2 linked regions of the Astyanax mexicanus genome follow. The protein of the gene in region 1 interacts with the protein of each later gene in a biochemical or structural test. Links are inferred from orthologs where the notes say so. Each region holds a gene or a part of one and is shown on either strand. Other genes may lie near its edges. The genes, in order: arhgef16 and tax1bp3.

The links.
Region 2: the proteins of arhgef16 (region 1) and tax1bp3 form a complex in vitro, tested with the Homo sapiens proteins (2 studies listed by BioGRID and IntAct, with this or other methods). The link is inferred for Astyanax mexicanus from reciprocal best matches to the Homo sapiens genes ARHGEF16 and TAX1BP3.

Annotation. Positions count from the first base shown.
Region 1 is NC_064419.1:18,039,052-18,046,503, forward strand, and holds the start of arhgef16 (rho guanine nucleotide exchange factor 16), read right to left. Parts: upstream 3,136-7,452; 5' UTR 2,957-3,135; intron 1-2,956. Other genes in the region: espn (espin), read right to left, coding at 7,223-7,370. UniProt on the Homo sapiens protein: Guanyl-nucleotide exchange factor of the RHOG GTPase stimulating the exchange of RHOG-associated GDP for GTP. May play a role in chemotactic cell migration by mediating the activation of RAC1 by EPHA2.
Region 2 is NC_064423.1:19,202,649-19,210,179, forward strand, and holds tax1bp3 (tax1-binding protein 3), read right to left. Parts: upstream 3,233-7,531; 5' UTR 3,108-3,232; coding exon 3,069-3,107; intron 2,109-3,068; coding exon 1,989-2,108; intron 1,675-1,988; coding exon 1,597-1,674; intron 1,008-1,596; coding exon 867-1,007; 3' UTR 171-866; downstream 1-170. Other genes in the region: nr2f6b (nuclear receptor subfamily 2 group F member 6b), read right to left, coding at 7,149-7,423. UniProt on the Homo sapiens protein: May regulate a number of protein-protein interactions by competing for PDZ domain binding sites. Binds CTNNB1 and may thereby act as an inhibitor of the Wnt signaling pathway. Competes with LIN7A for KCNJ4 binding, and thereby promotes KCNJ4 internalization.

The sequences.
Region 1 (7,452 bases):
TACTACCACTTTTATTGCACTGTGACTTTCAGGAATTCATGAGCCACAGATGCAGTTACAGGGTTACGAAAAGACTTGGCACATTTCTTTGCCTTGCGAATTCTGCATACTTTACAGCTTCTTCTATACAGATGTATCAATGTGTACTGCCCAGTTCTTTTATGATACAGATCTTTCATTGGTACAGTTCTTTCATGGTTTTCCAAACTTCTGCACTAGCACATTCTTGATTTATAAACTAAGTTTTTCAGATGCATTCAGAGGTGGAAGTAAAGTGGTTGAATAATAGCAAATCAGTTTTCCTTGGATAAAATTTTGCCTTACAATACTCTGCACATACCTCAGCCACCACAGATTCAAAATATGTTTTGGGACAGGTTTTCCCAGGCTTCTGCAACCCACACCGTGAGCCATGCAACCACAAAAGATTTCATAGCCTTCAAGAACATGTATCAACATTATTATTTAAAATATTAAAGAAAAATGATCACATTTCACTCAACTTTCACTTTTCTGTTTGTAATAATTAACATAAAAATGCTAAAAAAAAAAAAGAAATACCAAAGGATAAGGTAAGGCAGTATGTAAACTGCTAACCATTTAGTGTTATCACAGGGTAAAGCCTGGGAATGCCCACACCTATATAAGCTGTGAGGTGTTATCTTGTAAAAGAGGTAGAATACTGGCCAACGAGTTTGAGTAAGGTCTAAAAAGTGTGTAGCATTTCTCAATTCACAGTCACATTTGTACATTAAATGTAATAGAAGGCATTACCACTCACAGTGGACAGAGGAATGGGTGGTAGTGAATAGGACAGATGGCATCTGGCTAAATTTGTCCCATTCGAAGGGACAAGAGACTCTGGCAGGAAGCCTTACACGCATTTTTTTTTAATTCTATGGAACATTGCATAAATAATTGTAAACATGTACTAGTTTCTATCCTATGACATGCAGCAAGTCAGTGTACAAAGCAAGAGGTTTCGGTTTTGTTTTGTCTGTCAACAAGCATGAGCTCCGTAACAAGTTTTATATTGGCAAATAATGAAGTTTATTTTATTTTATTTTTTTTTAATTAAAACAATATTGTGTTTATTTAAATTATGTAAAAATACTCATTATGACACAATATGTATTATTTCAACAAAGTAAATCTAATTAGTCACTGTACTGTATTTTCTTCATATCTTTACTGAAGTATTTCAATTTTGGGAGGGAAATTTCTTACTTTTTACTTCACCACATTATGCTATGTTATCCTGTGATAGTGTAGCAAGTATTTAATAACTGGTAACTAAAATGTAAATAAATATTAACATAAGACTTTGCGTGGTCAACAAAAAGATATCTACAGCTGCTTGATTCATGGAAATTGTTTGCCTTCAGTATTAAAATAAGTAATGATATTCTATTAAAGACTGCTGAACCAAGAGTGAGTCCTTTCACCTGATATTAGTTGAAAAATGTCTTGTTACCATACTTTTATTTCCATTGGACAACAAGCGGTTAACTGGACACTGCTGACAAAGTAATTTGATAAATTGATAGATTCTATCCAATTGTATTTGATCCTATATGGTTTACATATCATTTGCATAAAGGTGTAACTGCTTGGAAGTATGCAGTATAGGTGGTTGGGTAGGGGGAAAAGTCACACAAGGGTCGGCACCCCCTTTTCTTTCTTTTCAGTTCTCTCTCTCTCTCTTTCTCTCTTTTTCTGACCTATCGAGATATAATTAAACTACTGTATACGTTCACCTGCTGATGTGCTTTTACTCTCTTTTAAAAGCATCTCTTTATAAGATAAGATAAATGGAAAACTTCTACTTTCACTACAGAAACATATTTTACCTCGGGCCACTAGAACAGTGGAGTGTTTCATGTTTTTAACTGTTTAGGGATGGTTTATGAAATAAATTAAATTATGAAATAAAAAGGTCAATATGAAATATAAAATATTACACACAAGCTTTCCAATGCAATTTAAATGGAAAGAAAAAAAACTGTTACATATTTTAGTTAATTGGATTCATTTGCTATATAGATTTTATAGTAGAATATTACAGTCATTTTTTTTCCATCACTGGAGATAATTCAGGTCTGAATGGGTTAATGTCTAGACTTACAATATGTAGACATAACAGAAATAGAGTGTGCGGGTTATGCAACTATAAAATAATAATTATTCTATATTATTATAAGAGAAACATGCTAATGATTATCGTATTTTACTTTGTAAAATTTGTCTGTTAAGGAAGAAAAGTACATTATTCATGTGAATAAAAAAAAAATCCAATAATAAAACATGCTATCCAGAACATTCCACAGCTGAAAACACAAACCCATTTTAGGAAATTTTAAAATCATTTCCTAAAAAATGTGGGAAGTTATTTCCTCCAGTAGACAAACACACACACACACACACACACACACACACACACACACACACACACACACACAGACACACACACACAGACACACACACACACACACACACACAGAATATAAATACTTCTGTTACATTTTTGCCATAGTTATATAGTGCAGAGCCGACATGTATAGAGTGTTGTATAGAGTAGACTGACGTGGTAAGCTAGCTAAAATGTTCAGGGTAATCACTACATACATGGTGAACAGCTGCAGCTAGCTCTAACTCACAGACCTGTTAAAATCAGTACTTGTTGCCCTGTAAAAAAAAATCCCCATAAATAGCGTTTTTTAACAAACTTTTAGACAGTATGTTTGTTGTTTTTGCAGGAAAGGTGCTAATTACTCAATCACTCAGCTCTCCTCAGGTAGACTGTCTGTCTGTCCGTCAGCCTCGACACTTTTTCCTCCTTCAGTCTACTGCTCCACTGCTCCAACACTCCCACCGTCTCAGAAACTAACAAACACACACTCAGACTGAGAAACCAAGTTTTACTGACTGTTCACAACATTCACAAACTCGAGCTTACCTCTAAAGCAGCGCAGCTGTGCTCCGGGGAACAGGAGCAGTTCAGCGGGAAATCTGCAGCTTTCAGTTCAGTTCTGCAGGTTTAGGTGAGTTTGGTGTTGTTTTCTAGTTATTAGCTCCTCAGAATCGCTGCACCGCCTCGCCTGTTAACAATCTCTCTCTCTCTCTCTCTTTCTGAAGGTGCGTCACTCACAGGTGAGTGAAGCAAGTCCTCTGCTGTGTTCAAGAGCTCGTTTACTGTATAATCAGAGGAGTGTTCACATGTCTGTCTCCTGTCCTTTACTCATAATAATGTACAACCTTTAGGGAAAATATCAGTGCAGTGAACTTGTTCTCTGTATAAATCAGTGACGACAGAAGCATATTTAATTAATTAGATTCCATTCCCTGCATGTCCAATATAACATTTATACTAATGGATCTCAAAAAAAAAAAAAAGATTATCATTAAAAAGTTACTTTATTCAGTAATGCAGTTTAGAATGTAAAAATCATATTATATAGATGTATTAAATACAGAGAGATCTATTTTAAGTGTTTACTTATTTTATTGTTGATAATTATGGCTTACAGCAAATGAAAACCCAAAAATCAGTGTCTCAGAAATCAAAAAAATCATATAAGATCAATTGGTACTTTTAGTAGTGTGCCAAGTCCTGCTGGAAAATGAAATCTAGATCTTCATAGACGTTGTCAGCAGAGGGAAGCATGAAGTGCTGTAAGATTTTCTGGGAAAACACTGCACTGACTTTGGAAAATCAAAGGAGCAGAGTCTGGAGGAAAAGTGGAGAAGCACACAGTCCAAAGTGCTTGAGGTCTAGTGTGAAATGTTCACAATCAGTGATAGTTTCATGAGGAAACTTAGCGGGGAAAAAAATAAAGCCCGTCACCACTGTTCCTCTTGCTTTTTTTCATTTTTTTTCACAGAAATATAAAGAATAATAAAAGAATGATATAAATCAGAATTATTCATTATATAAGACCCATTCCATCAATTCGGTGCCATTGTAGGAAATTACATGTATAAATGTTATAAATAACTTTAAACTACATTTTATTATTAAGCATACTGTATTGTACATTGACATAATTGCAAAAGTAAGATATGTAATTAAAAACATTTAAAAAACTGCTTATTACACTGGAAAAAATAGCTTAATTTGTTACCTGTCCCCACTATAAACTATAAAATTTACTATGAAATATAATTGTTAAAATCCTTCAGAAATTAATTTTTTGCATTGTTCTGTGACTCCAAATCCCATCTATGTTTTAAAAATATATTTTTTTCATAATAAGTTCATAATATTTAAAATAAAATACACATTTTAGTTGTGTTGCCAGGGTTTCACTCATTCCTGTTAAAGTAAAACATTATCCCATCTTAAACATTTTACAAGTCACATCTTCAACAGGAAGTGACATCAGCTTCTTCTTCTAAAGACCATAGGAAGACCAAAATTAAGTTCCCCCATTTGTCATCTCAACACTCATTCCTGTTACCTGAATCAGTTCTTAGATATTATTTGTTTATTTTTAAAATACAAATTTTGTGAAAACAACTAGAATGTGTTGAGCATCCTCATGCTATTTGCAAAGCAGATTTATTTGAGCTATTTTTAATGTTTTTGCTAATTCTATGATAAAAATTTATTCCTGTTACTCAAAACATATAAAAAGTAACAGGAGTCAGTTCCATTAACAGGAGTGAGCTCCATTTGGAGGAATGAGTCCCAGTAAATTATTTTTTTTTTGTCATAAATATCAATTATTTAAATATGCAGTCAACAATTTCTTTAAAATACTTTCTTGAGAGAAAATTAAAGGAATTAGTGGACTTGCTTTTAACAGTTTTTTTTTTTTTAAACATTTTCGGCTTAGAAACCTTTTAAAAAAATAAGTAAAACTGCCTGAGATTGACCAGCACATGTTTTGAATAATTAATATGAGTTATCAGTTTCAAAGTTTAAAAAAAAGAGAAAAAGTTTAATTTCGAAGAATTACAAGCAAATGGCACCCATTCGATGGAATGGCCTTTAACACTGACTTCTATTGAATGTTAAGATGTTTTCCTTCAGAAGTTAGGTCTGGTAATAGTCGTAATATTAATCAGTCGATATATCGTCATTCTAACTTTTAGAGTATATTAATATATATATATATATATATATATAATTAAAACTAAGTGTTTTCTTTAGGTACTAATCGGACCAGCAGTTTGTAGTTCCATTCTGCAAAACAATCAGTTCTTTTTTAAGTTTAATTAGGATAGAATATGATGTTTACTGGATCATTTAACTGTAAAGAATAAAGGTATTTGTATTATTTAATATTGAATGAGTCATAAAAATCAATAGTGCTGCCCATACCTATTCTGTGTGCTGAGATCAGCCTCGCTATTAAGATCTGGAAGTAGTCCCACTACGCCACCTGCTGTTCAAACAGAAGTATAACCACATCCCAGCAGAATTTCTGTATGATCCACCACATCAGCTCTATAAAATGCAAGAACTCAGAAGCTCAGATGCTGTAATTTCGGTTTTTATTCAATCTGCCAGTCTGAAAAGGAAGGTGTACATTGATAAACCAATGCAAGCAAAGGCTGAGAAAGAAAATAAAATGTATTGGAGCACAATGTAACAACAAAAGGGCAATAAAGAGTTACTCAGGCTTACTATATACATTAGACATGAATAGAAAATCTTCTAATGGCAATGATGTTCACATATATCTCGGTTTTAATATGGCATCAAATGGATTTAAGTGGAATATTTTTCCAAACGATTACTCAACGATGACCATGCAATACACATACAGCTGTATAATATTCAGATATCTTTTTTTTACAGTTTCAAAAAATATACACTCAAAATATGTCAAGTTTACCTATCACACATTTCATGACACAGGACGGACACCACATATATACACACGCACATTCAGAAGACACATCCGGCACTTTTCCAAGGTCCAGGTACCCTAAGTGTAGTAGCTACGGTTCACCACTAGGAGGAAAGCTAAAAAGTGATAAAGGTTCTAAAACATGATGATTATCATCATTTTCATTCTGTTTCATATTTTTGGCCACATGATGGTACTGAAAGCATTTCTCTGCGTGATTTATAATATCCAATACGGTAACAATAGGACCTGACTGTGGGGTTAAACAAACAACCACAGTTATTTTTTTTACATGTGTGTAAAACTGATGTTGTACTAAAGTTCACTTTTTATACTTGTCAACTTGGTATAAACGTATTTAATTCTTGATTTAAAAATATATAACATCATTCATAACAGAACTCTCCTGTTGTTCTAGTGTTCTGGGCAATGGTCACTTAGTGTAATAAGACCATCGACTGCATGACTGAATAAACAATTTCATGTTGTCATTAAGGATAAAAGAAGAAAAAAAATGTATATATTAAATAATAATTCTATTCTTAAGAACATTGGCCTTGGCTTGTTTCTCTACATTATAACTACACTCATTAATTAACTAAGCACCTGGAATTCCTGGACTGGAAAAGAAAAAGGATGAACATTGTGTAATTCATAATTAATGTACATTAATAGAAGTCAGGATGTAATATGAAAATTATTGCCTATATTTTTCTTAATTTCAACATAGTAAGTAAAACTCTTAATTTTTTTTGTACGAAATCATTGCAGTTAATATGCAGTTTCATATCAAATATCTCTTTAGCTATCACTGGGGTCCAAGCACTTAATACTAAAGCCCTGTTATTTAATTTAAACTTTCATGAAATTGTCCTAATGATGGTTACGGCTGGTTAAAAATATGTGTGTAGGATAATATCTCTAAATATATATTACTATCTCTGAAAATACTTTAAAAGATTTGAAAAAATAAGAAATGTGGGAAAACCTCAGTCTGTATAAGCATGCATGGCTAGAAGCGTTTGCTAAGCATGCATTAGATCTTTTGAAATGATATGTTGATGTATCATCGCTGGGATGCTGTGGATGTTTTTCCTTAAAAAAAATAGTTATCTATAGATGTACACAGGGCCGCTATAGATCACAGGCTTTTGGCCTTTGTAAAATCAAACAGATTTCTTATTTAAAAGTATTACGAATCCATTATTTACCCTGAACTCTACTAAGCCATCTCAAAGCTATCCACTTTATGAGCTCTTGTGTGTACATGTAATGGAGCTGGAGGTTTGTAGGTTATGTCCAACAGGAGGCGGGAGCAGAGGGCGATGTGTGAAACAGAATAGGGGCGGCTGTGGGCGTGACCGGCTCTACTGTTTCGCTATGTCGCCTTTTTTTAGAATGATCTGCCGCTGCCACGGCGCTAGCTTGGTCTCGTCGTAACCAAGAGTCCGTAGTCGCTCCAGCTCCATCTTCTCTTCGTTCTCCTTCTCGATCCGCTGGCGTTCCTCCTCTTTTCTGCCAGGTCACAGAAAATCACACAGAAACAGGCAGTGCAATATTAGCATGGCACTGTCACAAAGGTCTAACTCTATAATAT
Region 2 (7,531 bases), on another chromosome or scaffold:
GCAGAGGCCAAAATTAGACCCATGACAGCAAACTCTAGGATTTTTTTCTCTACACTTTCTGGTGGTCCCTTAATTTCTGACTTCTGACCATTAAACAATAACAATGATTCAGTATATGATTAACTACAATAAATTAATGTTTATAGGTACCTAGGTAACACATAACAGGCTACTAATGATTTTTTTATTGGAAAAAATAGCTATATTTTTACACAGCCACATGCCAAAATCTATCAAAGACAGTGTAGAAAATCATTGGAATACAGTGTTGATATTTTGTGTCACAAAAAAAAAAACTTTTATGATCTTCTGCTATAGAGAAACAATCATGTTAATTTGGCAGCAATAATTAGGAATTAACAAACAAAACAAGTAGTATATGCATAAGAAAATAAGCATTGTATAAAAATGATAAAGGAAAGAAATTAGTGGTCTTTATGTAGAATTGATACACATGTTCCTTGGCATTACTCAACATCAATCTAAGAAGGAAAAAAAAAGCAAAACAAAAGGCAATGACTGATAAGTGTTTTTAAGTGTAGCTGCATATAGTTCTTGCAAACAATGAATGAATAGGACATCATTTACATATTGACAATCATCTGTACTCACACTGTCACTGTAACACTGCTGCTATATGTAGTAGTTGTTTAGCATTAGTGTTGAACACACAGAACTATTTTTGAAAACATTGAAAATTCACCCCTATGGGGTGTAAAAAATCACCCCAAATCAAATACTCAGTCTGTCTTTGAGATGATGGCTCACTGTTGTTCTTTGGCATTTGGTTGGATTACAGTATATAAAAAAGGACATTCTGTAGTGTGATTATCAAATGACATTCAATGGAGTGTTAGAGATTGCTATTAGTGTGGCATCATGGACTGTCTAACCGCATCCTGCAGAGATTTTCTGGTCACCAGTAGCCTGACTACATCTTCATTCTTTTTTGTTAGCCTTTTACGCGCTTGGTCATGAGTCACCATGGTCATGTCCCAGCCGTTTACCTGTTATAATAAAAAAACATACTGATGATTCAAGAAATTATATTCAGCAATAAGATAACACTATATATAATCACTTAAACATTTCTGTAACAAGAATGTTACAGTTAAAACGTTGTGTGCTATAATGAACAAACAGGTTCTCAACTTTCCAAGTACCATAAACCTTTATAATGTGAACGAATCTTGTCCTTTAAATCATACTGCATCTGAATGTGTGTAGCATTGCAGAAATCAAAGACTATTTCCTTAATGAGGCCAAACTGAATGAGCAAAAACTGACCATATCTAAAAATTCTGCATGCAAGAGCTACTGAATCAACAAAACATAGATAATTTTGTTTAAGAGCTTCAAGTCAAAACGGAAACACAAACAGTAGGTTAATAGCAGCCTCTGGTGGTCAAACTGATCTGAAATAAAAACCACTTTACAGAGCAAAAATAAAACTACTCTTTACCTGTTTTTAAGAGAACATATTTTTCCATGTTAGTATTGTATTTGTAAGAACAAGCCATACCCTAAACATGTGGTGCTAAAATGTCACTGATTATTCAACATTAGTCAACATAAGACATTATTCAGTTGCCCAACCTGCATTATTTTATCTCCCATCATGAGGCCTGCGACCTCTGCTGGACCTCCCTTTGACACCCTTGTGACATAGATGCCCTAAAAAAGCAGAAAATAATATACTTAAACCAAAATAAATTACAATACTTTTAAGTTGTACAACAGTGGTCACCAACCCTGTTCCTGGAGATCTTCAGAGAACTGTCTAATCCTAAATGACCCCATCTGATTCACCATCAGTTAGCTGAATTGACTTTTTTAGAGAAGGAGGGGGTGACCACTTTCAAGGATTTACATACCACTCAGTATATAAGCATTACATTGTATGTCAACTTTATAGAAGAAAAGAGAACAACAGCATGGAAATATATGGGTTTTTTTGCATGACAGCTATAATATCTGAGACGCCTCACCTTGTCTGTCTTGTCTTCTGAGAATGGATTTTGACCTGGGTCTTGATCAATTCCCCCTCCAATGCTAAAACCCAATATTAAATTATCACCGTCTCGTAGTTTTTGAATCTCTATCCTTTGCTGAAACACAAAAGAGGGGTAAAAAAAAAAAAGTTACAGCTTATCTCCAGCACAGTGAAACCAACAACATTAATACCACTCTGCTTGTCCTTATATGGCTATACAGTACTAGCTACCTGTAAGAAATTTACTTAAGCCACACCTAGGCATTACCTGTAATGATGTAATGCTGTACTTATGTTTTAATAAAATGTTTAATTGACTATTAATCCATGGTTTAGCTTCATTGTAAATCTTTATAATTTGTTTTATTCACTAGAAGCGTACGTTTGTCTTTTATTTCATACAAAAAAAAAAAACAGTTCTGGTTCACAGACAGACTCAGCTGTCTATGCATAGCAACTACAGCAAATGCTGATGGATGAAGTGGCTAGCTGTATGTTAGCTAACCTATTCTAGCTAGGCAGCTAACCGAGGCAGTTATTTGATTTATTGCAGGCTAGCTAACTTTTTAACTAAATGAACAACCAGAAACACGTCTCTAATAATATTGAGAGCTTCGTAAAAAAGTACCCACACAGTGAACTAACTCTGAGTAATGTTTGTTAGCTAAACTAGCTACCCGGAACTCTTGTAACACAGAGCGAGCTAATGCTAATGCTGGCTAGGCGGCTAACGTTATTACACGGGGGTACGTTATTTAGCATAGCCAGCGTTAGGTTAGCTTCACTGCAAAGCAACCAAAGTACGTTAACTTTAAATTCCGTAAACGTACGCATTTCCTAATTCACATACAGCAACTACATGATGGTCGTTTACAAAACACGACAAACTGCGCGTTATCTTTGTTTGCAAGTTAAGCTAACTAGTTTCCTTAGTCCAAGGAAAGTCCTCCTCTGTAGTTAGGCTAGCTAAACGCTACAGTAGAGGCGAATGAACAGAGGTGGGCTAGACATTTAACTACCCTATCTGTATCTGAAACCCGGAAACTTTCTCTAGTTTATAATCAAAAGAACTCACCACTACAGCTGTGACAGGCTGTCCCGGTATGAAAGACATATTAAAATGAATGACAGAAGATTTCCTTTCCCTCAACGAGCGAACAATGAACTCTTCTCAGGTTTTTTAGGACCGATGGTCTGCGGTTACACCCATGAATGACAACATGCAGATGACATGCTGGGGGCAGAGCCAGAAAAGGAAAGCTGGAGAAAAGGAGAACTCACTCCTCCTCCTCCTCCTCCTCCTCATTCAGCACTTTCCAAAAGGTTTGTAAAAATACCTTTAGCAAGTTTATATTTAAAATCTGTAATGTTGCATCTGTTTGATTACATCTCTGTGATTATCGCTGTGGCAAAGCACTGGCAAACATTTCAGGTGTTCCAGAAGCATCCAGACGTATAACAGTTATATACAGCTTTGGAAAAAATAAGAGATCACTTAAAAGTTATGAGTTTCTTTGATTTTGCCAAAATGAATCTATGAAATATGATCAAGAGGAAAATGGATGATCACAAGCCATTAAACCAAGCTGAACTGCTTGATTTTTTGCACCAGGAGTGGCATAAAGTTATCCAAAAGCAGTGTGTAAGACTAAAATCTCTGAATCGTTTTGTTATTTCAGCCCATTTTAATTTTCTGCAAATAAATGCTCTAAATGACAATATTTTTATTAGGAATTTGGAAGGAATGTTGCCCGTAGTTAAAATAGCAAAATCAGAGAAACTGATTCAGAAACTGAAGTGGTCTCTAAATATTTTCCAGAGCTGTACATGGGGGGTTTAGTTTGCTGGTACATTGCCTTAAAAGTTTGAGAACTACTGTATTAATTCATCAATGGGTAGAACTGAAGAGAGTGGCCTGTGCGCTGCACAATTGACCCTCCGTTATATTGCTAATCTGGAAACTCAGCTCTTCAGATTTATAAGCTTAACAGCCACGGTGCTCTTTCATTGTTGGGAAGACAAAGCCCCCCTCACACAATCAAGTAAATAAATGCTCAGTACAACAATGGAAGGGCAAAAAGTGACCACACCGCGACCCCAGCTGGTGATGTTTAGCATCACACTATGTTTTAAAGGCCGTGGTAGTGCGACAAATCTTATCAGAGTAATATATAGATCTCATTGCATTTATTTTTTTTGTTCAGAAGTGTTTTGGATTATAATATTGCAGCCACGCCTAGATTTTCTGCAGGAACCTTTTGAAGTTGGAGAAAGCCCTTAAATAATATATATAAATGTTTTTTTTAGAAGGAACTTGTTATCTTAAGGTTCATCAAAGCACCTTAAGGGGTTCCTCCACAGTTTGTAATTGAAAAACCTTAACGAACGTTTAACAGTATGGCTGTAAGAGGAGGCGACGATGTAAATGGTTCTGCTTCTCTGGCATAAATACAGCTCTGGAAAATCTTGCCTTGCCTATAAACTATAGACAACATTTTCTCAAATTCCAACTAAAATATTTTCATTTAGAGCATTTATTTGCAGGAAATGAAAAATGGCTTAAAACTTAAAAACGATGCAAAGGTTTCAGACCTTAAATAATGCCAAGAAAACTTTATGAAGATCATATACTATTTATATAAAGTTTAGAAATCAATATTTGCCTAAAATAACCCGTTTTTTAATCACAGTTTCATGCATCTTGGCATGTTCTCCTCCACCAGTTTTACACACTGCTTTTGGATAACTTTACGCCACTCTTGGTGCCTGGTGCAAACATTTCATCTTCTTCTTGATTATATTCCAGAGGTTTTCAATTTGGTAAAATCAAGGAAACCCATCATTTTTAAATGGTCTCTCTTAAACATATCAATATGAAATTTAGTGATTTCGGTCTGTAGCTGCTCTGAACAAAAGACCTAAAGACACTGAAAGACTATGTATAGCAGGGCCTATATGCGGTTTGTCCAAACACGTGGCCAGCAGGGGGCACAGGGGTATCGCACTTTGGCCTTTCTTTGTGTTTACTGGCCAGCTGCATGATTTTCAGGTCCATGCAGATCCCTGTAGCTGACGAACCACTTTATAGCATTATATTTTACATTTTACCAACTACTACAGCAATTTACACATTTGTGGAAAAACGACTGATTCTGCTGTTCATTGATTTCAGTGATTATTCTGGCACCACTTCACCAACTTCTGTATGCATCTGTTCAGAGAATGGCTTCAGTTTGCACTGCCCTTGTTCTCTAGGGTTTCAGAGCTCCATGTCAGAAATGAGCCAGCAACCATGTGGCTATGTCCAAATCTTTGTGAGAAAAAAATCGAATAAATATATACAGAGATAAGCGCCCCCATACTTAACTGTTAACAGTTCCCAACTGTTAACAATTAAAGGCCTTAGGTTCAAATTATGTCTGCATTTCACTAGACATTGACAATATACTATGGATTTCAGCCGAGCAAAAATTAACAAGTTAAATCATGGCTCATCACATCTCTTTGGTTATTTCATTACACTGCAAAGGGTGATTTCACTGAAAAACAATTCTAGAACAATTCAATTCTTTGATTTTGACATCTTTGCCCATGGCACCATAGCAGTAGATATGTATAACTTGCAAATAAATTGTGAAAACAGTATTAACTCTAAAAATAAATAAAGAATACATTAGTGAAGCGCTGAGTTCATACAACTACATGAACCTCTACTGATTATCTATCTATATATCTTATCTATATTACATTACTTCTACCACCTACATAATATTAAGTAGGTCCCCCTTGTCCCAACACAATCAATCTGACCATTCACGGCATGGACTCCTTGTTCTGGTCCTAAGTTATGAGGTCAGACCTCACATCACCAGAACATACCTGCCTGATGTTTGATGATTTTCTGATCCAGTCATCTAGCCATCAGAATTTGGCTCTTGTCAGAGTGACTCACATTTTCATGTTTGCCGATTTCCTGTTTTAAACACATAATTTCAAGAACTTTGTGCCCAATATATCCATTCCATGACATATGCCACTGTAGATGAAGATGATCAATGAAGATGTTCACCTGTCAGTTGAGCTAATGTTTTGGCTATGTTATTGTATATTTAAATATGTATACTAAAGCGTTCCTCATCGAGTCAGTATCACTTTCATGAATGAAATGACGGCCTCTATTGACAAATGATGCTTCTTGGAATAAGCCTCAAGAAATGTTTAGGGAGATTCATGTTAAACACTCATTTTGTATCTACCTTACTAGTACTTATAATTGCTTACACAAAAAAATGTATGACCCAAACTGTGACTTTTTCCCCTTTTTGTGTAAGATCACAAATGCCATCAACATCATCATCAAATCAAAAAAAAAGTTGTAGCCCAGCCAAAGATCCTCCACAGTGGAGTTTTTGAATGAATATTCTGTCTTTATTATTAGTATGCAAAAATATTGGATATTTTTCATGATTGACAGTATGAAATGTTTGTTTTTTGGACCCAATTATTTAGAGTACACAGAACTATTCCAAAACAATGTGATCATCACAACACATTAATTAACTGATTTTTCAAGTAAGTGGTCAGGCTTCCCAATTTTTTTTTGACATAGCATTGCAGTCCATGACAAAACCTTCATGAGTCTTCATCTAAACTACACTCATTATAATTCATATAGTAATTATTTATAGGGTACCAAGAAATCTCCCGTAATATCTCACGTTTAAAGCTGGACCAACGTCAATCTCACAAACTTGCAGCACCAAGACGTCTCTTCAGGGCTGCCACCCCATCAGTTCATCATGGTTTCTTTTGTTAAAAATCGTGCAATACTTTGTTGATGTTTCTCGTCTGCCGCTGTGCTGATGCACATAAAACATGCCTAAAAAGTCTTGTCTGAAAGTTTTGACGTTGAAGTAAAAAACCTGAGGTATCCCAAACTTGAGTGGCTCGATTAATGCGCCTAAGGACATGTGAGAGCGTACTCACCTTTTCTCCTTCACCATGTACACTAAATGAGCAGAGAGGTGTTGCAGAATATAACACAACATGAACATTCACGCAGCGACTAAGAAATCACGCACTGAGAATCTAGAAAGCCCACACAGAACATGAAAGTCAAGAGTTTAAGTGGGTGACAAGCAGCTCGTCAACTCAATTACTGTCCGGGCACGTAGGGCCAGCTAATTGAGCTGCCTGAGAGCTGCATGTCTCGGATCAGCGTCTCGATGGGCGTCTTTCCAACCAGCCGCATGAAGAAGAGCTGAGAGATGAGGTTGGCGGGCACGGCTCTGAGCGAGGGCAGACGCAGTAGCAGGCGGCCGAAACGCTGTGGCTGGGTGGGATACTGCATGCGCTCGTATTCGGTCAGGGCCACCTGGGCTTTCTCCTGCAGACTCTCTACATGGGCCGGGTCTGTCAGTCCACACGCGTCTGTTAAGAGACACAGAGACACATACATGCAGAGTGTCAGTGGTTAATTCCTGGAGACAGCTGCCACATAGCAATACAATTAGTATTATGTAGTAGTATGTTTTTATG